Linked DNA regions of Anolis sagrei. The protein of the gene in region 1 purifies or fractionates together with the protein of each later gene. This does not show direct contact. Links are inferred from orthologs where the notes say so. Each region holds a gene or a part of one and is shown in the gene's direction. Other genes may lie near its edges. The genes, in order: DDX39A, API5 and THOC1.

The links.
Region 2: the proteins of DDX39A (region 1) and API5 fractionate together in Homo sapiens (co-fractionation; 3 studies listed by BioGRID, with this or other methods). This does not show direct contact. The link is inferred for Anolis sagrei from reciprocal best matches to the Homo sapiens genes DDX39A and API5.
Region 3: the proteins of DDX39A (region 1) and THOC1 purify together in Homo sapiens (affinity purification with mass spectrometry; 3 studies listed by BioGRID and IntAct, with this or other methods). This does not show direct contact. The link is inferred for Anolis sagrei from reciprocal best matches to the Homo sapiens genes DDX39A and THOC1.

What each region holds. Positions count from the first base shown.
Region 1 is NC_090022.1:113,422,533-113,430,069, reverse strand, and holds the start of DDX39A (ATP-dependent RNA helicase DDX39A), read left to right. Parts: upstream 1-4,461; 5' UTR 4,462-4,568; intron 4,569-7,515; 5' UTR 7,516-7,518; coding exon 7,519-7,537. Other genes in the region: MRPL12 (large ribosomal subunit protein bL12m), read right to left, coding at 240-292. UniProt on the Homo sapiens protein: Helicase that plays an essential role in mRNA export and is involved in multiple steps in RNA metabolism including alternative splicing. Regulates nuclear mRNA export to the cytoplasm through association with ECD.
Region 2 is NC_090021.1:275,016,649-275,023,683, forward strand, and holds the start of API5 (apoptosis inhibitor 5), read left to right. Parts: upstream 1-4,159; coding exon 4,160-4,228; intron 4,229-7,035. Other genes in the region: golgin subfamily A member 6-like protein 24, read right to left, coding at 2,874-3,941, 3,973-4,161. UniProt on the Homo sapiens protein: Antiapoptotic factor that may have a role in protein assembly. Negatively regulates ACIN1. By binding to ACIN1, it suppresses ACIN1 cleavage from CASP3 and ACIN1-mediated DNA fragmentation. Also known to efficiently suppress E2F1-induced apoptosis.
Region 3 is NC_090024.1:60,858,358-60,866,447, reverse strand, and holds the start of THOC1 (THO complex subunit 1), read left to right. Parts: upstream 1-5,073; 5' UTR 5,074-5,084; coding exon 5,085-5,216; intron 5,217-8,090. UniProt on the Homo sapiens protein: Component of the THO subcomplex of the TREX complex which is thought to couple mRNA transcription, processing and nuclear export, and which specifically associates with spliced mRNA and not with unspliced pre-mRNA.

The sequences.
Region 1 (7,537 bases):
CCAAAATCTGGGGGGAAACAAATCCTGATAGCATTTCGGATAAGGAAGGTGCAACCTGTAACAAGGGGCCTAGCAACAACTTCAGGATTGGTGCAAAGGCGACCTGAGGCCTGCCTCCGCAAAGAGGGCTGCTGGGCGGGAAGCCTGGCTCCTGCAGGCCGGCTCAGGGACGCGTCTCCGCGGGTGACCTCTCGCTTCCCTTCCGTCCTTCCGTCCCTCCGTCCCTCCCTCCCTCGTACCGGAGCAAAAGGCGGAGAGTGGCGCCCAGGCGGCCCGCGGGCAGCATGGCCATGGCGGCAGCTCCAGGAGGCGGCAGGAAGGAAGGCGGCACCGGCTGCCTCTTGCTCCGGCGACAGAGGGCGCGAAAGGGACGCTCTCTCCGCGGCAACTCGTTGGCTGCTTAAAAACCATCCAATCCCGGCGGAGGTTTTCTCGCGACGCATTGGCTGGCCGAGATTGAGCGACCATGCTAGGCGGAAGTGATGTTTCAACGCCCCCCTCCGTGCCGCGCTAGGGACTGAGCTCTATGGTAGTGGTCTCAGCCTGGTCCATCCCAGCATCCCATTTTGGAATACCTACCTCTGTCTGGAAGAGGAGACCAGGATCTCTCCAAACAGGAAGTTAATGTATGTTTCACATGCACCTTGTGCGCAGGGCCGATAAGATTGTTTATATTAGCGCTGTCTGAGACCATTGTAGTCGGAGGTGACCCCCCCCCTCCCCCCCAATAAAAGATAGTTCATAATCAGGAAATTCTTAGTTTTGCCAAGGACACCAGGCTGGAACGATATATGAATGAACTTTTTTATGAATGGACTTCAGCTGATCGTTGCCCTTATGAACTTCATGTTTTCCCCTAACTGCCATGGACCCTAATGTGTGCCTATCTGTAACTGTGCTGTCACATGTTGGGCCTGTGAACGAGTCTATAGACAGGACGTGTTTCTGTGTGCCCAATAGGCCGCCGGGGGTGCTTTGGCTGAGAGGCCTTTCGGATTTCCCCACACAAAGTTCTTTTAAAGACTTAGAAAGTTCAACAAAGATTTTATTGTTGCTTAAATCTTCAATAAATCAAACAAATACTTCAAGGCTTTGAATCAACTGGTGGCTTGCTTAAATCGTGTCCACAAGGGACAGGCAACTTTCTTCATAAACTGTTTCTTCCTTCTACAAGGGAAATCCTTGATCCCTCCCTGGGCAATCTGACTTAAGCTCTGCTGGCATGGACCCCTACACCAAATTGCTTTATGGCTGCCGCGAGTGGTCCTTACCAAACAGAGTCATTTAGCAGATTTCCAAGAGGAAAGAAGGCTTTCAATTCCCAGGGAAGGCTGGCTGTAAACCGCAGAGCTGTATTTCTCCAGCAAAGAGCTGGCTGTAGAGTTGTGGAACTAAATTCCCCAACAAAGGCTATGCTGTAGTTATCTGTAGAGTTGTGGGACTGGATCCCCCCAGCAAAGCTGTAAAAGACGAAGCTTTCTACAGGTGGAACTGATTCACGTCCTGTACGAAAGGCTTCTCTGTGTGAACTGAACTAGAGGTCCCCTTTTTCCCTCCTTAACCCAGAAGAAGGGGCAGAACTAAAGAACATAATGATAATTGATGGGTCATTGGCCCTATGATTGCAAACCAAGGGAAGCCACCTTATTGCAAAATGCATGGAACTTTGGAATACATGCAAACACTCATTAGAAAGTTGGAGCTCCTGGTACAGCCGTACCAGCACAGTAACTGTATTTTATTAACTAGCCGTCCTCTGCCAGGCGTTGCTGTGGCCCAGTCTGTGTATATGTGTTGTGTGTATCTATGTGGTTTTGCGCATGCATTGTAATTTTTTTGCTTTTTAAGTCTCTTCTGCTGTGTTTTTCAGTGTTTTTATGAGTGATGGTCACTTGTTGGCCTGATAGGTGTATTGTGTCCAAATGTAGTGTCAATTTGTCCAGTGGTTTTTGAGTTATGTAAATCCCACAAACAGACATTGAATTTTTATTTATATAGTTGATTTTATATGATTTATATGTACATCTGTATCAAAATCTGAGGAAAAGGTGACCTTTTTATGAACTCTAGCCAGCTCTTCCTGACTCAGGTGCCACAAGCTGCCCTGGGTCTGCATTTTGTTGAATGGACTCTCAAGCATTTCGCAATATAGACAATAACTGGATGACCCCTTTTCTTAAGCCTCAGAGGATCAAGCCACTTAAGAATTGGGTAAACTTTTGGACACTTTAATCACTCTTCGAAAAGGATTTTTCCCCTCTTCGAGGAGAAGGGGATGTCACAGCTTCCCAAAACAATGGCATTTCCTTCCCCAGTAAACTGGATTAGGAGATCATCAAGATATTAATATCGGTGTATTTTTTAACAATGGGTTGACTCCAAGGGGCCAGAGAGAAATGTTATTTCAAAACTCTGTAGCAATAGCTAGGTTGGGCTTGAGGGCTTACAGCAATCACTTCGATTGCCTGTCAATAGGATCTGGGATGGGCCACTCATAATCCTATCATCAAGCTACTATTTTCTTTTGTTTTACTGTTGCCACACCTCCTTGCAGCTGAAGGAGGGCTCAGGCTCCCATTGGATGAGCCACACCAGCCCCCTGGCCGCTCTTCCTGGCTTGCTGATGTCACAACCAATCACAGCAAAGCGGGCGGGAAATTTGAATGGAAAAAACTGTATATATTGTCTAGTTTTTTGTATTGGAACCATGGTGGTTTCTTCAGCAGATTACTGCAGCCGTCATCCTTTTCCAGCTGGAACAGAAATAAATACCTTGGTGGCTTCTCTTCAACTTGGTGAGATTTATTCTGGAATACTGGCTTCTTTTCTCACCAGGCTAAACCCACAGTGGCTTGGATCTCACTATCCACAACCATTCTAAATTGCACGACGCCAGTACCCCTTGGCTTATGGTACTACTACTAGGCCTCACTTGGGGGCATCCAGGCAAGTCTTCGGACTCTCTAGTCGGCCTGCTGTTGCTATATGTGCCACTTTTAGCTCTGATCATGGAACAAAACATGTGTTTAAATAAAAAGCAAAGATGTACAAACCAAACCACCCTTGTATGAGTCTTAGGTCTACATATCATAGCGTTGTGAGAAGATTGTGTTGTTGTTTATTCGTTCAGTCACTTCCGACTCTTTGTGACCTCATGGACCAGCCCATGCCAGAGCTCCCTGTTGGCCATCACCACCTCCAGCTCCTTCAGAGTCAAACCAGTCACTTCAAGGATACCATTCATCCATCTTGCCCTTGGTTGGCCCCTTTTCCTTCCATTTCTCCAAGCATCATTGTCTTCTCTAAGCTTTCCTGTCTTCTCATTATGTGGCCAAAGTACTTCATCTTTGCCTCTACTATTCTTCCCTCCAACGAGCAGTCAGGCTTTATTTCCTGAAGTATAGACTGGTTGGATCTTCTTGCGGCCCAAGGCACTCTCAGAACTTTCCTCCAACACCACAGTTCAAAAGCATCTATCTTCCTTTGCTCAGCCTTCCTTATGGTCCCGCTCTCACATCTGTAGGTTACTATGGGGAATACCATTGTTTTAACTATGCGGGTTTTCATTACCAGTATGATGTCTCTCTGCAGTTGGCAGAGGAACAGAGGAATACTCTTAGCTCACAATGCAATGTCTTGTTACAGGACAAATAAGTTTTTTTAAAATAAATAAATAGGGCAACTTCTTGGGAGACATAACAAGGCCACTTCTGTGGCAGTCAATCCAATGTGGTCCACCAGCAGGGTATTAGTTTTAAGGAGAAGAGAGAGACTGAAACTATACAGTCGGCTGCTCACAGAAAACAAACTTTTTCTACAGTCTGAAATCATGGGAGTTGTAGTTTGTAGAAAAGGATGAAGACTTAGGACCCCTATATCCCAGGTTTTCTTGATTATATGAGTCCTCACTGCCAGATAATCTGGGATAAACAGAAAAGCTGGGATCAGATGCTGGGATATACGGCCTGTCTGGAATGGCTCCTTCTGAAACGACAACTCCCATGATTCTATTGCACACAATCCCAAACTGTGGCTTGGTAGCTGTTTGGGCTTTACTTTGGGAGAGCCACCCTCACACGGCAACCCTGCAGCTGTTTGGGCCTTCAACTCCCAGAATTCCTGACCAATGAACAAGCTGACTTGGGCTTCTGGGAGCTGGAGTCCCAAACAGCCGGAGGGTCGTAGTTTGAGGATGTCTGTTCTGTATAGCATTGAGTCAGGGCAGTTAACATGGTACAAAACGGCATTAATGCTTCATTGGCGATACATCCACGCTCTTTCCTCCCGCAGCCATTTTTCTCCAGTTCGTTCCCTCTCTTCCTTCCTCCCACCTTCCTAAAGACCAGGGAAGGAGATGAGAAACCGTACGTCATCTTCCGTGAGCCAATCAGGGGACGGAGAACCTTGATTGACGGCTCTGAGGAGTGAGGTTCCCATTGGCGGCTTGGGAATGGCGGCGGGCTCTTACTCATCGGCGGCCAGTGCGAACGGGAGGGACTTCCGGGGCGTCTCAGTGGCAGCGCGGTCTGTGCAGAAGCGAGGACGAAGGCGCGAGTTGGAGCCGGAGGGTGAGTGAGTCCCCGCTGCTCCGCCTTTTGGGCCACAGCCGTTGTCCGGGGCGAGGCCTGGCGGCGCCTGTGTCCTAAGCCGCAAACGCTCCGGCCCGCGGCAGGGCCCAGGCTAGTCCCGGTCCTCTGGCCTTTGCCACCTGCCCCCGCGGGGCCCTCTCTTTCCCCGCCTCGCCGCGGTATCCCCAGTCACCCTTTAGCAGACGAAAACGGCCTTCGGGGAGAGAGGCCTTAAGGTCTGGAAGAAAGGGAGAGCAGCCACGTTGGCGGCCATTGTTTGGTCTACAAACCAATATGCCAACTAGTGGGAGGTGCTTGAAAAGAATTGCAAGGCATGTCACATATTAGAAAAAGCAGGGAGTAAAGCCTTGCTGGTTCTTAAGCAGCCTTGCTACGAGGCGGATGTTAGTACTGGAGCTAACCTCTGTTTTTTCGGTATTGTCCCATTATCAGGGCAGAGGCCACTAGGGGGTGCCAGAGAAGGAAGGAGAGTCCATTTTAGGGGGAGGAAAACCATTCCCCCCGTTTTCGCTCGTTATTCCCCCTCCCCACTTCCCATATAAACAGTATGAGGAAGTGGGGGGGGGGGGGAATAATAGAAAAACGGGGTAATGGTTTTCCTCTACCACCCCTATGAAATGGACTATTCTTCTGTCTGTAGTGCCCCCTAGTGGCTCCCAGTGCAACAGAACTGTATTTTCTTTATATGTTTATTATTATGAGGCTGGATGGCCATCTGTCGGGGGTGCTTTGAATGCAAATTTCCTGCTTCTTGGCAGAATGGGGTTGGACTGGATGGCCCATGAGGTCTCTTCCAACTCTTTGATTCTATGATTCTAGAGGGGGGCAAAGCATAACCCAGCAGAGGTTGGTGGACAATGGCTCCCAACATTTTTCATTATTGAGGGCCCTCCCAAAGGCTGACGGGAGTTGCAGTCCACCAAGATCTGGAGAATGTCTTTGTCCTCCGTGGTTTATAAAATGAAAAGTAGTTTTCAAAGGGAGTGCTTGCACTTGTTGTGCTTTGTTCTCATGTCAGTTTTACGCTGTATAGATGCCTAGTGATCTATCATTTATGGTATATGGATGAGAAAGCCAGCCTGGCAGAATGGCCTGAGTGCTAGAGTATAGCCCTGGAGACCAGGGTTCGACACCTCCCCGAGCCATGCAAACTTTGGTCATAGTTTTAAAAAATGCAATATAAAAATTAAAAGAAAACCAACTTAATAATATAGTGTGGTTTAAGGTAAAAACATTAAAATATAATAAATGCACTTAAAATGGCTGTTAAAACCCACAAAATAGGAACCTTTTTGAAAAGCATGATAGATGTCCCTTCAACACCCCTCCCCCCAATTAAATAATAATGATAATAATAATAATAATAAAGCTTTATTTATACCCCACTACCATCTCCCCAAGGGACTCGGTGCGGCTTACATGAGGTCGAGCCCACAATACATCAGCAAAAAACAACAACAGCAGTAATACAAAACAATAAAATAAAGCTCATAAACAAAAAATAGGCAATAAACATCGACAATAACACAATAACATTTAAAAACCAATGGCTGGGCCAAATGTAATAGTTAAAATTTTAAAAATAATGCTGGACAAGACCAGGTGAAATATAACTCGGATAGAATTTCGGAAAAGAATGGGGCGTACAGACAGTTCTAGATCACTAATAAGGTGCAATAAATAAGACTCCTGGTGTGATCAAAATAAAGAAAGTAAAGAGAAAGCTTGAGATTAGAGAAAAGCTTTCTTTTGGCCTCTTTCATATCATCTTTTCTGATTGCAACATAAATATCTGAGCAGAGAAGGAAAGATAATGTATGCCATTTGTATGTGCTGTATGTGACTCTGTAAGTTGCTTTCTGGTCATTAGATATGTGGTTAGAGAGGTGCCCATTACTGCATGTGGGGATAATTATTGTTATGCTACAAGTAACCTGGGAAATAATACTTTAATTGGGAAAAATAATGTATGGTAGCAACTTTAAAGAGTGTATTATTCCTTTGAATAAACATGGTTTAGGGTGTTGCAGTTCTCCCATATTTTGTCTCCACTTTTCTTAAACTATTCCTGCAAACTTGGAATATATCTCTGTATTCCTTGATGATTTGCCCTTGTTTCCATTCACTTTACTGTGTAACCACACTGATTTTTAAAAGATGCTTAAATCTTTTCTGCTTTCATGTAATTTTTGTGATGGTGTTTTTAGCAGTTTCTTCTCCATGAAATCCTTCCTATGCTGGGTGTCTATTTCCTTTAGCATCTCTGACAATGAGATTCTGCCCAGTATTTCCTTGAGTTTGATTAAAAGTAGTTTTCCTGAAATCCAAACTACTTTACTCTGTTCAACAATAATGAAGTCTAGCATTACATGATCACTGTTCCCTTAAAAGTACCAACTTTTTGATTCCACTAACCAACTCCTCTCTATTGGTTAAGATTGAGTCTAAGACTCCTGGCTCCCTTGTTCCTTCAACTTTTGAAAGCGGAGAATATTTGCAGAACTTGTGGCTAGTAGAGCAAATCACCTAGCCAATATCAGAATAACTGAACTATCCGTTCTTATATCTGTGAGATTTTAAAGATTTGTTTCAGAAAAATGTAATCTACTACGTCTTCTTAGTTTGGTGGTCTGCCATGTTGTTTTTATTGTTTCTCAGGTGGTCTCCACTGATCTTTAGATTGCTCCCATAGATTTCTGGACAAGAAGCTATGAATTTGAAATATAATGCGGTTCTCCCTCCTTTTCTTTCCCCATCTGTTGTTTTTAAATACATATAGTTTATCCCTCAATTGTTATATTCCAATCATGGGAGCCATGCCACCAAGTTTGTGTTATGTCTACAGACTTAATGGCCATCACTGGCTTAACTGTCTTTCTGCAAGGCTCTAGAAACACCCATTAATATGCATGTTTCCTTCCCATAGAACATGGCTGAGCAAGATGTGG
Region 2 (7,035 bases), on another chromosome or scaffold:
GTGGGCACCCTTAGAAAGCATATATGAAAAGGAGTTCGACCCTACATGGTGTTTTGTTTTTGTTTTTGTCATGTCAGGAGGGACTTGAGAAACTGCAACTCGCTTCTGGTGTGAGAGAATTGGCCGTCTGCAAGGACGTTGCCCAGGGGATGCTCAGATGTTTTTTGATGTTTCATCATCTTTGTGGGAGACTTCTCTCATGTCCCCACATGATGAGCTGGAGCTCATCCACGCTCTCCCCGGATTTGAACCTCTGACCTGTTGGTCTTCAGTCCTGCCAGCACAGGGGTTTAACCCACTGCGCCACCAGATTTGTATGACATAAATGGGCAACTGATTGCAATAGGTGGGATAACAGATAAAGTGGGATATAAAATTGGATAAAAGTATTAGGCCTATATAACAAACTTAGTAAAGTTAAGGTTTTCCCCTGACATTAAGTCCATGAGCACATGGAGATGAGCACCAACTCTGCAGGTTGGTGCATATCTCCATGTCTAAGCTGAAGAGCCAGCATTGTCCATAGACACCTCCAAGGTCATGTGGCCAGCATGATTGCATAGAGCGCTGTTACTTTCCTGCCAGAGCAGTATCTATTGATCTACTCACATTTGTATGTTTTCGAACTGCTGGGTTGGCAGAATCTGGGGCTAACAGTGGGAATTTACCCCACTCCCCCGATTTGAACCGGTGACCTTTCGATCAGCAAGTTCAGCAACTCAGCGGTTTGACCCACTGCGCCACCGGGGGCTCAAACTTAAACAAGAGAAATATGGGGAATGTCTAGGCAGAAAAAGCAAGTTGGAAAGTATATTTACGAAAGGACAGAAAACAGAGAAAGGATTAGTAGTATGTATAAAATGATGATACAAGATGATGAATATATAGTAAGAACACTAAAAAATAAATGGCAGAAGGAAGGGCCACTCACAAAACAAACTATAGAGGAAATAAAGAAGTGGGTTAAGAAAATTAAACAGGAAAAATATAGAGTTAGAAAGCAAATTTATCTGGAAATGTCATTGGATACCAGCCCAACTAGCAAATATGGGAATAGGACTACGTCCAATGTGTTGGCATTCTAAAGTAGAGAAAGGCTGGTATGCACATATGGAGTGGGATTGTTTAAATATAACAATTTTTGGAATAAGATAATAAAAATGGGTAAACTATTCAAAATAATAATCCAGGTCATCATGGAACTTATGTTAATGGCAATTATAGGGAACAAAAATATTGCTGCAAAGAATCTATGTAAAGCAATGATTCCAGCAGGAAAGGCGGTAATAGCCTGGGGATGGAAAGATGGAAAAATATGAAATATGAAACGGACATTATTACACTGAAGAAGGTTCATAGGAGGACAAAACAGATGTAATTAAAGAGAAATGAGCAATGTGGTGGGTGGGGTTGGGAAAGGAGGTAGGAAGAGGTGGGAGAGAAAAAATGTAATGAGAACAAACTTGTAAAAAAGGTCAAAAGATAATATAGAAATACTTTATCACAATGTAAGCTCACCACAGACATTTATTATCTGCTCAGAGACCATGTTATATTGTATTCAATAAAAAAATATTAAAAAGAAGGACATTTCTCAAATCTCTACGCTAAAAGGGGTGGTCACCCGTGTTATTCCCTCTCAATGTGTTGAGGTTGTTCAAAGTCCTCTTTTATACCACGGAGCCATGAAATTGTGTGCCGTACATTAAATGGCAAAATCAATTGTTTTTTGCTTTTGGTGTTTTTAAATTTATGTATTTTCAAGCCATAGATGGCTGAATCTGTAGATATGGAGGACTGACTACAATAAGGGTTGGACATTCCTTATTGGGAATTGCAAAATCCAAAATACTCCAAACTCTGTTAGCTCTGCATCTAGTGGTGCCAGAGCGCAGTCTGTTTAGCATGTTCCAGGTCATCCACTCTTCTGTGTGCCTGCCCAGGAGGGAGTTTCTCATCTGGCCTCACCCACTAATTAAAGTGCTTTGTTTTAACCTGCCACTTTTGGATTCTTACTTGTTGAGGTGTCCATGCAAGTATCTTTCTCAGTCTTAGGAAGCTGTTTCTTGATTTAAGACTTTGGCGTGCTGGCTGATATCTGAACAAGGGATGGACTGGACCATTGCCTTGGTCCTTTCATTACTGGCTGCTACATCCCAACAGATGTCAGGTGATGCAATACCAGCGAAACAGTATAATTTTTCCATCGGTGTGGGGTGTAGACATCCTGTGATAATGCGCCATGTCTCATTAAGAGTCACATCCACTGTTTTAATGTGGTGCCATGTATTCCATGCTAGGCATGCGTATTCACCAGCAGAGTAGCAAAGCACAAGGGCAGATATCTTGCAGCAGCAGCCAATAATGAAAGGACCAAGGAAGTGAAATCTCCAGTCCATTCTCTGTTCGGATATCAGCCAGCACGCCAACACCTTAAATCAAGAAATAGCTTCCTAAGATTTACAGAGATACTCGCAGGAACACCTCAGCAGGTGAGAGTCCAAAAGTGACAGGCTTGAACCCAGAACCTCAATCCATAGCTGATACCAAATATGATTCCCTCCTGGGTACACATAAGACTGGGCAGCTTGGAAAGCGCTGAACAGCCTGCACTCTGGCACCACAAGATGCAGAACCAATCCTCAGAAATGGGGCCACAAAGTGGAGTCCACAGCATGCGAGTGTGGAGAAGAGCAGACCACAGACCACTTACTACAATGCGGTCTGAGCCCTACCACATGCACAATGGAGGACCTCCTTACAACGACACCAGAGGCACTCCAAGTGGCCAGCTTCTGGTCAAAGGAAATCTAGTGTAATGCCAAGGGTTTTAAAACTTTGTTTGTGGTTTTTTATAAGTTATAACTGTATTTTCAATTCCCTTCCAACACGATAAATATATGAATACGCAGCAGCAGCAGCTGCTCCTGCTGCTGCTGCTTCTGCTGCTGCTCCTGCTTCTTCTGCTGCTGCTCCTGCTTCTTCTGCTGCTGCTGCTTCCGCTCCTGCTTCTTCTGGTGCTGCTTCTGCTTCTTCTTCTGCTGCTCCTGCTTCTTCTGGTGCTGCTGCTTCCGCTCCTGCTTCTTCTGGTGCTGCTTCTGCTTCTTCTTCTGCTGCTCCTGCTTCTTCTGGTGCTGCTTCTGCTTCTTCTGCTGCTGCTGCTTCCGCTCCTGCTTCTTCTGGTGCTGGTTCCGCTTCTTCTTCTGCTGCTCCTGCTTCTTCTGGTGCTGCTTCTGCTTCTTCTGCTGCTGCTGCTTCCGCTCCTGCTTCTTATGGTGCTGCTTCTGCTTCTTCTTCTGCTGCTCCTGCTTCTTCTGGTGCTGCTTCTGCTTCTTCTTCTGCTGCTGCTTCCGCTCCTGCTTCTTCTGGTGCTGCTTCTGCTTCTTCTGCTGCTGCTCCTGCTTCTTCTGGTGCTGCTTCTGCTTCTTCTTCTGCTGCTGCTTCCGCTCCTGTTTCTTCTGGTGCTGCTTCTGCTTCTTCTTCTGCTGCTCCTGCTTCTTCTGGTGCTGCTGCTTCCACTCCTGCTTCTTCTGGTGCTGCTTCTGCTTCTTCTTCTGCTGCTCCTGCTTCTTCTGGTGCTGCTTCTGCTTCTTCTGCTGCTGCTGCTTCCGCTCCTGCTTCTTATGGTGCTGCTTCTGCTTCTTCTTCTGCTGCTGCTGCTGTTTCCACTCCTGCTTCTTCTGGTGCTGCTGCTTCTGCTTCTTCTTCTGGTGCTGCTTTTTCTGGTGCTGCTTCCACTGCTGCTTCTTTTGGTGCTGCTTCTGCTTCTTCTTCTGCTGCTGCTGCTTCTGCTTCTTCTGCTGCTTCTTCTTCTTCTGGTGCTGCTTCTGCTTCTTCTTCTGGTGCTGCTTCTGCTTCTTCTGCTGCTGCTGCTGCTTCTGCTGCTCCTGCTTCTTCTGGTGCTGCCACTGTCCCCGCCAACTCTCCAGCTGCAGCTCGCCCTCCGCGCCGACAGGGGTCGCTGTGGGGCACGCGCGGCCTGCTTCCCCGGCGCCGGATGTTGCGATAAGCCTGCGCGGCTTGACACGGCGCTTCCGTTCGCGGTGGGGGTGGTGAAGGAAAGCTGTTGTCGTTGTCGTCTCTGTTGCTGTCGCTTTCGCAGAAGCCGAGGGTTTGGCAGGCCTGAGCAGGAGGAGGAAGCGCAGCCCTCGCCGCCGCCATGCCCACCGTGGAGGAGCTGTACCGCAACTACGGCATCTTAGCCGACGCCAAGGAGACCGCGGCCGAGGTGGGGAAGGGCGCAGGGCCTGCCGGGTGGCTCAGCCCGGAGCTCCAGGCACCTGGGCCCCGTCTTCGGGCGAGGGGAGTGGGGAAGGAGAACGAGGGAGCAAAAGGCCTTAGCTAGGGGCCTTGCGGACTCGCGATGAAGGGAGCCGGGCTCGGATCCTCTCCCCCATTTAGCCCTGGCAGGCCTCGGTGCCTCTCTGAGGCCTCTGGTTTGCTCAGTGGGAAGTCTGTTTTGCGGGGGGGACTTCTGGAAGCTCTTTCCACGCCTCCCTCGGTTCCCGGGCTCGCTTATGAAGTGTATTCTGCTCTTTCATGTGTTGGGAGCCAAGGTCGACGCTAGATTTTGCATCCAGGGTTATTGGTGTGAATTCTCGACCGCTTCTACAAACGCCCAAAAGAGTTTGGAATTGTATCGCTGCATTTACATTAGAAAGCCTTTTCGCTCTTTGCCAATAATATTTTTTTTTATTCATACCCGCCTCTTCTCATGACTGAAGGCGGGTTACAAAGCAATTAAAATACATAAACACAGCAAAAACGCTACAAATATACAAACTAAAATGTACCTCCATAAAAGTTACACGCCAATATGAAATACATATTAAAACAGACAAAACAAAGATTAAACAAAGGACATGCATTAAAATGCATGTTTATATTTAAAGACTGGGTAGGCCTGCTGGAAGAGACGGGTCTTCACTTGTGCCTTAAATTCTGACAGCTGATCGGTAGCCCCACAGCCTTAATGCTACCCATGAAAAGGTCCTCTGGGTGGTGGTTGCCAGTCAGGTTCTGGCTAATTGGTGTAGCCTCCCCCCAGAGGACCTAAGTGTGTAGGGTGGATTGGGTGGGAGAAGGCAGTCCTTTAGATAACCTGGATCCAAACCATGTTAGGCTTTGAAAGTCAAAACCAACACTTTGTGCTTTGCTTGGAAACTAATTGGCAGGCAGTGGAGTGATTTTAGGATACGTATAATATGCTGACTCTTAGATCTTCCTGTAACCAATCTGGCTGCCATATTTTGAACCAACTAGAATTTCCGAAGACCTCCTGGTGGCACAGTGGGTTAAAGCGCTGAGCTGCTGAGCTAGTTGATTGAAAGGTCGCAGGTTCGATTCCGACAAACTGCGTGAGCTTCCACTGTTAGCTCCAGTTTCTGCCATTCTAGCAGTTTGAAAACATGCAAATGTGAGTAGATCAATAGGTACCACTCCGGTGGGAAGGTAACCGCATTCCATGCAGTCATGCTGGCCACATGACCTTGGAGATGTATATGGACAACGCCGGCTCTTCGGCTTAGAAATGGAGATGAGCACCACACCCCAGAGTTGGACACGACTGGACTTAATGTCAGGGGAAAACCTTTACCTAGAGTTTCCAATCTTGGTACAAGGGTAGCCCAATGTAAAGTGCATTGCAGAAGTCGAACCTTGAGGTTACCAGTGTGTGCATTAGCATCTTCAGGGCCTCCAAATCTAGAAAGGGGTGCAGCTGGTGTAGCAGATGAAGCTGACGGCAGTTCTGACTTATCGCATCTACCTGGACTGACATTTGGAGAGACAGATCCAGGAGTACTCCCAAACTGCAAACACAGTCTTTCAGGGGGAGTGTAACCCTATCTAGAACTAGTTGACAAACCTCCATCCCCAGATGAGGACCTTTGATGGCACGCTCCTCTGTTTTGTCTGGATTCAGTTTTAACTTATTTTTTCTCATCCAGCCCATTATCTCCTCCAGGCATTCATTCAGAGGAGATATGCTATCCTTATCTCAAGCTGTTTTTGAAGGCATGGAGAAATATATTTGGGAGTCATCAGCAAAGGTGTGCATGTTGTAGCCAATGAGAGATCTGCTTGGTTCAAGATGTCTTATTCCTGAATTAAGTGCAATGGCACACTGTCCACAGGAATGCAAGTGTCTAACGGTTTGGACAAAGACTGGGGTTTTCTTCTGGCATGAAAGCCTCTGGTTGAGCTCGGACAAGTCGGCCTTTCTCATCCTCCCGAGAAGGCAGTGGCAAGCCTCTTCTGAACAAATCTTGGCAAGGAAATCCTGTAAGAGGGTTGCCATAATCTACTGTGTGCCTTGCTCATTTTTAAATGCAATACTATGTTATCTGTAGGAATGAAAACCAGCTCTAGGTGCATTTTACATGGCAGAATTTATACCAGCAACAACATAGATGGATCTTTGGATCCCCCCCAAACCCATGTCCTCAACTAACAACTCCCTCTTGGGTAACTTCTTTGCAGATGTGTTCTCAGTGCAATGCCATGTTTTAGATACATACCATGATTTGGTTTGTATCCAAAGCTTCCTAAGGTACATTGAAATTTGACTTATAATTAAATCTTAAATTTAAAAAGTGAATTTCTTTCTGCTGCTGTAAGAAATGGCACACTTCACAATTCTTCCATTTTTGTCTCATCTGTAATATTGGTTTTTGAGGTATGAGCAGTCTATGTACATCCTCATAACATAATACAATACATTACCCTCTGAATTAAGCTTGCAAAGCTTGTATGTAAAATTATAGACTTCACGTAAAGATTATGTTCCATATTTTTCTTTATTAGGCTTCTTTGCACCAGAAAAAAATGATATACATATGTCTCGGATTTATTTAGGTGTGTTACGTAGCAGAAAAATCTTGCTGCCTGGAATCTTCCTGTTGTTTTAGGCTGCTGTTGCTAGAGAAGAGGCTAGAATGTGTCCTTTCATTGAGCCTGTTGCCACCCATGAGGACTCATGCTGCTGAAGTTTCTAGCATTACAAGTTGTGTTAATTTCCAGTCTCCAGAGATATAG
Region 3 (8,090 bases), on another chromosome or scaffold:
GCCCTGAAGTTCTCAAAGAATTCTCTGAAGGAGGACAGCATTACAGATCCACGGAACTCCATCTGAAATATCTACAAGCCTTGGCTAGTAGGTCTACTCGATACCCAGATGCGTTTGGAATCGGTAGTAGGACCCACACTGATGAGGCATAGATAGTAATCAGCCTGGGAGAGGTTAAAAAGAGTTTTTTTCCCATAGAGAAAGTACAGTTAATTAAAGTCAGGTACCAGTCCATTGAGGACTAAACTAAGAAAGCCTTGAAGTATTTTTTGAACCATTGAAGATTTGTTGTTTGTTCCATAATAAAGACTTTGTTGTATCATTAAAGACTCTAAAGACCGTCACTTCAGAAAAATCCCTGAGAACCTCTCTTTGAGGCGCCCTGGCTTCCCGCTGGGCTTAAAGTATACGTCCTATAGAAAAGACAGCTGTTACAGGCCCAGCGTGCGACAGAACAATTATATTGTTCTTTCATTTTAGTTTGGGGGGTTTTTTGCACTAAAAATATGTGCACTGTGCATAGAAATTTGTTCAGTTTTTTTTTCTTTCAAACTATAGTCTCTCCCCCCCCCCCCCCCGAGGAACAGTGAACCAGCCCTTGGTTAAATAAAGTTTGAGGACCCCTGGTAAAGATCAACAGTGATCCAATACAACAAGAATTCAGGAAAGACAGGAAACACCTCTTTTGATCCAAATTGATTTCTACTGAGGAAAGAATGTGATCCAATGCAAAACTGGTGTCATGGCCAGTTTGGGAAGCATGGATGAGCAGAGGCTGGTTGAAGTCTCTGTGCTTGAACTTGAGTCTAGCCATGCCCATCAACTCCTCAACCAAGCTTTCAAGCAACACCCATTGAAGGAGTTACTGCCTGCAGAACAAGTGCAAGGGCGTTCCTTGGAGAAGGCTGAGGAAGAGGAACTGTTCCAGCTTTCATGGACCTGGAAAAAAGAGGGCCTCAGCTGCACAGGTTTTGGAGACTAGTTGAGAAATGAGCCAGCAACAGGTAACCTCCGAGAACTTCGGATTTAAGGACTTCACAGGTGGCACCTTGTTACTGGCTGCAACATCAGTTCTAGAAGCTATGACAATGGAGTGTTGCTTTCTTGTATTCCTAAACTCCGGACTTATCCTTGAACCTCAGTTTACAAATTCTAATTTCAACCTTGTACTTTGAACTCTGGTACTTGACTTATGACCTGAAATGGGACATTCGGCTTCTCTGTACTATCCTGCTATTGTCTGCCTCTCTTTTGAACTTTTCATTAACACCCTTTTGGTATTTGGGGGTCAATGCTTTTTACAACTGAGTTTGGATTAAAACAGTTGCATATGACACTAAGGGGAGTCAAGCTGGTGCAGGATACTTTGCATTCAAGCTAGGAATATAGCCCATGTGTAAATTCAGCCATAGTTATATCTCTTTAGTCACCAAAGTGCACCAAATTGTAACCAGGCAAAAAGATACCCATCCCCTTTGTGTGTATAGATTTCTTCAACCACAAGAACCCAAAACATTGCTACTCTTTTTTTTTTTTACAGTAGTGGGAACTATAAGTAAAAAGAGGTCTGTTATGAAACAGTGGCCTTTACAATTTGTTCATGTGTCACTGAAGATAGCAATGTCAACACAAACAAGAAACATTTCATTTAGCTTTCCCCAAAGACCATAAAAGCAATCTGGTATAAAGAGTAGTTGGTTGATTTGATTTGGTTTTCAACCAAGAAGTACTCTACGTGATTTATTAAAGAAAGGCTGCAGAATAGCCTTACAGAAATGTATTGTTTTAAAGCTTGTGGTAGGAGAGGAGTCCAGTCTCCAGAGAGTTGAGGAAATGAAAACATCGAGCTATGCAATGGTTTTAGTAAAAGAACAATTTCCTATTCAGAGTTTTGTATAGAATCAATCAGGGTGACAACTAGGTATGGCAGCTCCTTGAAAAGAAATACCACTTCTTCTCTCTGAGAGTTATGCACTATATTGGAATTGAGACCTTGTCTACACCAATGCTTTAACTTCACAACATTGTGGCATTTTTTTCCTGTAGGCATAGCAGGGAAATCATGTAGATGTTATTAAGTTACTACATCAAAATCTCTCCAAAGCTAAATAAAGAGCTACAGGCGGGAAAACATGCTGAGAATAAGTTACAATACAATAACATGTGTATGAGTAAAAATACGTTATTTAACACCACAGCTCTGGAAACATTGTATTGTTTGATTACAATTTCATTCAATCACTTGCATATTTCTTTAAAAAGTAGTAATAGAGAACAAATGGATGGAAGTAGAAACCTAGTATATGTGGAAAGTCCCGTATGTGCTGTGTGCTTTGAGATCTTTCTCTGCTTGTGTGTCAAGAAAGATGTAGTGACTGAGTTTTTCCCTCTCTTGAAACCTTAGAAGAGATGGGTGTTAAAATAGCTCAGACCCAGTTCTTTACCATGAAGAAATCTAATTAGTTATTTATTATTGTAAATAAAACTTTTGTGATTTTTTTTAAAGATTGGACTCTGCATGTTTGCCTCCTAAGCTCTAATTTTTTTACAACCACATCACACGACACTTCACGCTCTGCTTGCTAGTGAGCTGATGCTCAACTTTTGTATCCTGTTTGTTTTTGGATGCTCCACTACTTATTTTAGGGTAGTTTTCCCTAACATATGGACCAACCCAGCTCATATTAGCAATTGTGTCCTCTTCTTACCCAAAAACCTTCATTGTTTCTTTTTCTTCTTGAAATGATCAATGAACTCAGGTGAACCCTTTTCCCTACCTGATTTCCCTCTTTTAAAATCTGCTGTGCAAGCACATGCATCAATCCACTCTATCAGAATCATACCACTGCAGACTCAACATTGCTTTATTGTGAAATTGAACATTTGGTCATTCCAAATAAATGAACAAGCAAAAAAGAGAGGATCAAACACAATCATTTGCTAAAGAATTATTATACAAGTTGTGCTATAGTTGCAGTCTGTAGCAACTAACGAATTTTATCCTTTTATAATAATGGAGCTATTCTATCCTTCGATGGATGGAGACAAAAAGGTTAACCTTTGTGTTTTTCTAACCGTTTTTGCAGTAGTCTGATTTTCCAGCAGTACCGAGACTTGATATTGGGAAAGTTACTTTAGGGAAATATAACTCTTGGAATCTCCTAACCAGGATGGCAAGCATGGAATTCATCAAAATAATAAAATGTATCTTCCTTATCTTCTAGTTACAATCTGTAGAATTTATTCTTAACACTAATGTTTTCTATCCAATGCAGCTTTTGTTTGTGACAGTAAGAAGGAGAGGCCAATTTACCTACTAGATAAGAAAGTATTTTGGAAGGTAAAGTTGGAAGGAGAGTTATATATCTCCACATGTATACAAACACATACACACACACACAGTTATGAGGTAAGGAAGCAGTGTTTTGCCATATTTACTATTAAGGGCTCATATGAACCTGAGCTTGGACTATAACTTTGAAAAAAACAATTAATCACAGTTATAGTTTCTAGGCTCCAAAGTGTTAAGCAGTATAGTACTTACAATTTTAAAAATAATTGTTTACTTTCCCGTTCACTAGAAACTAAACCAGATATTTTAAAATTAAATATCCATCTGAGTGGTACAAGGAGCTAGTCTGTGGTTCAAATACATCAAATACACCACTGCCTATAGGAGCCCCTGGTGGCGCTGTGGGTTAAACCCCTGTGCCGGCAGGACTGAAGACCGACAGGTCGCAGATTCAAATCCGGGGAGAGGCGGATGAGCTCCCTCTATCAGCTCCAGCTCCTCATGCGGGGACATGAGAGAAGCCTCCCATAAAGATGATAAAAACATCAAATCATCCAGGCGTCCTCTGGGCAACGTCCTTGCAGACAGCCAATTCTCTCACACCAGGAGTCACTCCTGACACGACAAAAAAAAAAAACAAAAACAAAAAACCACTGCCTATGAAGTAACACACCCTACAAACTATCTACAGACCCACTAAGAAAATCCAACAAATGCTACATTTACCAAAGGACAAGAGGAGTCTACCATATACCATGCAGCTGTGGATAAGTCTACATAGGGACCAAAAAATGCAGCACCCAAACACGAATCAAGGAACATGAAAGGCACTGCAGACTAACTCAACCATTGTATGATCTGTATTATAATGTATTTTGTATTAATGTATTATGGTGCTATTATGTTTATTCTATGTGTGTATGAATTTTCTGCTGTTAGCCGGCCTGAGTCCCTCTTCGGAGGTCGAGAAGACCGGGTTATAAAAGCTCTAAATAAATAAATAAAGCAGAGAAGTCTGCCATAGCAGAGCACCTGATGAACCAACCTGGGCACAGCATTTTATTTGAGAACACAGGAATGCTGGACCACTCCAACAACTGTCATGTCAGACTACACAGAGAAGCCACTGAAATCCACAAGCATGTGGGCAATTTCAACAGAAAGGAGGAAACCATGAAAATAAACAAAATATGGCTACCAGTATTAAACAAAACTCCAAAATCAGGACAGTAAATAAAGAACCACACTCAAAAAAACAGAGGAATTCCAGACAAGAATCTATCAGGGTCAGCAAAATACCTCCCAACAAAGGATTCCCCCAGACAGGAAGCAGCCAGGCTTTGAAACTGCAAGGCCGTTCAATGCTAATCTTTTGCGAAATTCACACTTGCCTGAAGCAGAGAAAAGTTCTTTTTCCCATCCTGACATCATTCCACAGATATATAATCCTCACTTGAAAAACTACAACTTCCAGGATTCCTTAGCACTGAGCCATAGCAGTTAAAAGTGCATTAATTCTGCAGTGTAGATGCACACTTTGATGAGAATGGACAGGCTGCAAAATGTTTCCTTCCTATCTTTTTTCTCCTTCACGTTGGTTTAGACAGGATCAGGCTATTGTTATCCAAGAATGCAATACACTGCCCCTAGCGGCAAAACGGTGAAGTGAAAGCGCGGAGAGAGAGTCATGTGACTTCGCCTCTCTATGCCCCGCCCATGCTGAGACAGAGGCCCCGCCCTTTCGAACTCGCTCTCCCCCTTGTTTCCTTCTTCTCTTGTGAGCAATGCAGGCATGGACGAGGCGGAGCGTTGGCGCGGGGTTATGACGTCAGCAGACCTCGCCGTGTTTCTGTCAGGAGCGGCAACCATGTCTCCCTCGCCGCCGCTGCTCTTCAGCTTGCCTGAGGCTCGGCTGCGTTTCATGGTGAGCGGCTTGTGAGGTGTTGTTACTTCGGAGAGGAAGGCAGAAGCCGTTTATATTCCTCCCTTCGTTGCTTCCCAGCCTTTCCCACGCCTTCTCTTTGGGACTTCAACTCCCAGAAGCCCCAGCTAGCTTGGCCCAGAGTCGGGAATCCTGGGAGTTGAAGTCCAAAACTTCTGGAAGACCAAACCTTTCGAAAATACTGTTTTAACTTTGTCTGTTTTCCTCCCTTGGGCTCTTATTAGATTTGGATATGTGCCTCTTTTGTTTTGTTCCATATGTCCACTGCCTTTCAAACATCACACACAAACAAATCTTTGCTGTGTTAGGCCCAGCTTACTCTAGGCCAGGCATGGGCCAACTTGGGCCCTCCAGGTGTTTTGGACTTCAACTCTCACCATTCCTAACAGCCTCATGCCCTTTCCTTTTCCCCCTCAGCCGCTTAAGCGGCTGAGGGGGAAAAGGAAGGGGCCTGAGGCTGTTAGGTATGCTGGGAGTTGAAGTCCAAAACACCTGGAGGGCCCAAGTTGGCCCATACCTGCTCAATGGTATGCTATTTTTAATGTTTAATTATTGCTTTATTACAGATTTGATTTGGGGCCTAATTTAGGCTGCAGCATTCATAGTGTGTATTTTAGATGTGTTCATATATAATATACTAGCTGTCCCCTGCCAGGCGTTGCTGTGGCCCAGTCTGGTGATCTGGAAAATAAAGTAATGGTTTCTAATCTGTGTAATTTCTTTATGCTTGTGGGTAAACAGTATTTCTTGTTGTTTCTTTGTCAGTGTTGATGTAGAGATTGTCTGGTTTGCCTACCCTGGAATATGCAACATATAATTGCCCTTCTTTAGAGTTCCCTTTCAAATCTATGAGACTCTATCTCTCTGTGTGTGAATCATATCTATCTATCTATCTATCTATATATATATATCTATGGCTGGATGGCTCTTTGTCAGGAGGGCTTTGATTACATTTTCTTGCCCTGGTGAAGGGAGTTGGACTGGATGGCCTTGAGTATTTTCTGTTGGTTATGTGAGTTCTGTGTGGGAAGTTTGCCCCAATTATGCCGTTGGTGGGTTTCAGAACGGTCTTTGATTGTAGGTGAACTATAAATCCCAGTAACTACAACTCCCAAATGGCAAGGTCTATTTTCCCCAAACTCCATCTGTGTTAATATTTGGGCATATGGAATATTTGTGCCAAGTTTGGTCCAGATCCATCACTGTTTGAGTCCACAGTGCTCTCTGGATGTAGGTGAACTACAACTCCCAAACTCAAGGTCAATGCCCACCAAACCCTTCTAGTGTTTTCTATTGGTCATGGGAGTCCTGTATGCCACGTTTGATTCAATGCCATAATTGGTGGAGTCCAGAATGCTCTTTGATTGTAGGTGAACTATAAATCCCAGCAACTACAACTCCCAAATGACAAAACCAAAAATGTTTGAGTGAAGGACATACATTGGGTTGTTAGGTGTATGCTGTCCAAATTTGGTGTCAATTGGTCCACTGGTTTTTGAGTTCTGTTAATCCAACAAACGAACATGACATTTTTGTTTATATAGATGTGCCTTGTCTGGCTAATTTTTCCACCCTCGTCTTCAAAGTAACAGAAATCGGGCCAAACCCCAAAGTGTGCTTTGGAAAGATTTACTCCTATTGATTCCAGTGGGAATTTATTTATTTATTATTTATACCCTGATTTATCTCCCCTGAAGGGGACTCAAAGCAGTTTAACATACAAGTATTAGCATAACCATTTAAAATATACAGACATTAAGGAGTCTCCGGTGGCTCAATGATTTAAACCCCTGAGCTGCTGAATTTGCTTATCGAAAGGTTGCCGGTTCGAATCCGGGAAACGGGATTACCTCCTGCTGTTAGCCTTAGCTTCTGCCAACCTAGCAGTTTGAAAACATGCAAATGTGAGTAGATAAATAAGTGCCGCTCCGGCGGAAAGGTAACGGTGCTCCATGAAGTCATGCCAGTCACATGACCTTGGAGATGTCTCGTACAATGCCAGCTCTTCAGCTTAGAAATGGAGATGAGCACCAAGCCCCAGAGTAGGATGCGACTGGACTTAATATCGGGGTAAACCTTAACCTTTACCTTACTTATCGAAGTAAGGTAAAGGTTATATTTATACATAGGAATAAATATAAACAGTATTCAAAAATTCTCAATTAAAAACCATTAAAACAAAGTTAAAAACCACAGCAACACCCTGAATTGATCTTAAACACAGCCATCTTTAAGAGGCTGCCTGAATGAAAGGTTTTAGCCTGCCGAGGGAAGGACAGCAGGGAGCTTAATTAAGCAAGCTTAATGTGCACAAGCCTAATGTATATCTGGTTCAACTAATTTTGGCTTAAGTTAGGTAGAAGACTTTTTCAGCCCTCTAAACATAGACTGGCTGTAACTCCAAGTAACTATCAGTAGTCCTAGCTAGTAGGAAGGGATTGTGGCAGATGCAGTTCAGGAACATCTTGAATCAATATAACTTCCTTTCTCATTTAGACTGTTTTATGCTATGTAGAATTGTCATGTATCCATTAATGTAGGATTTCCTTAACGTGCCCAAAGAGTGCCTAGATTTTCAGTGCATTGTTTGAGAGTGTTATTTATTTATCAAGACAACATATGTTTAAACAGATTATTTTGGAGGAAAACTGAATTTAATTTGATGCATTGCTAAGTGAATATAGGAGTATAAGCCTTTCAGACACATGGCATTACTCAAAGACACTTGGTGCATCAGTGCCAGAGTAAAGCAGGTCTGGATCATGTGTATGCCTGAGAGTGACATCTGTTCCATCTTCTGTCATAAAAGAAAGTTGACATGTAAATATTTTGTGTATATTTTAGGAGACATTTCTT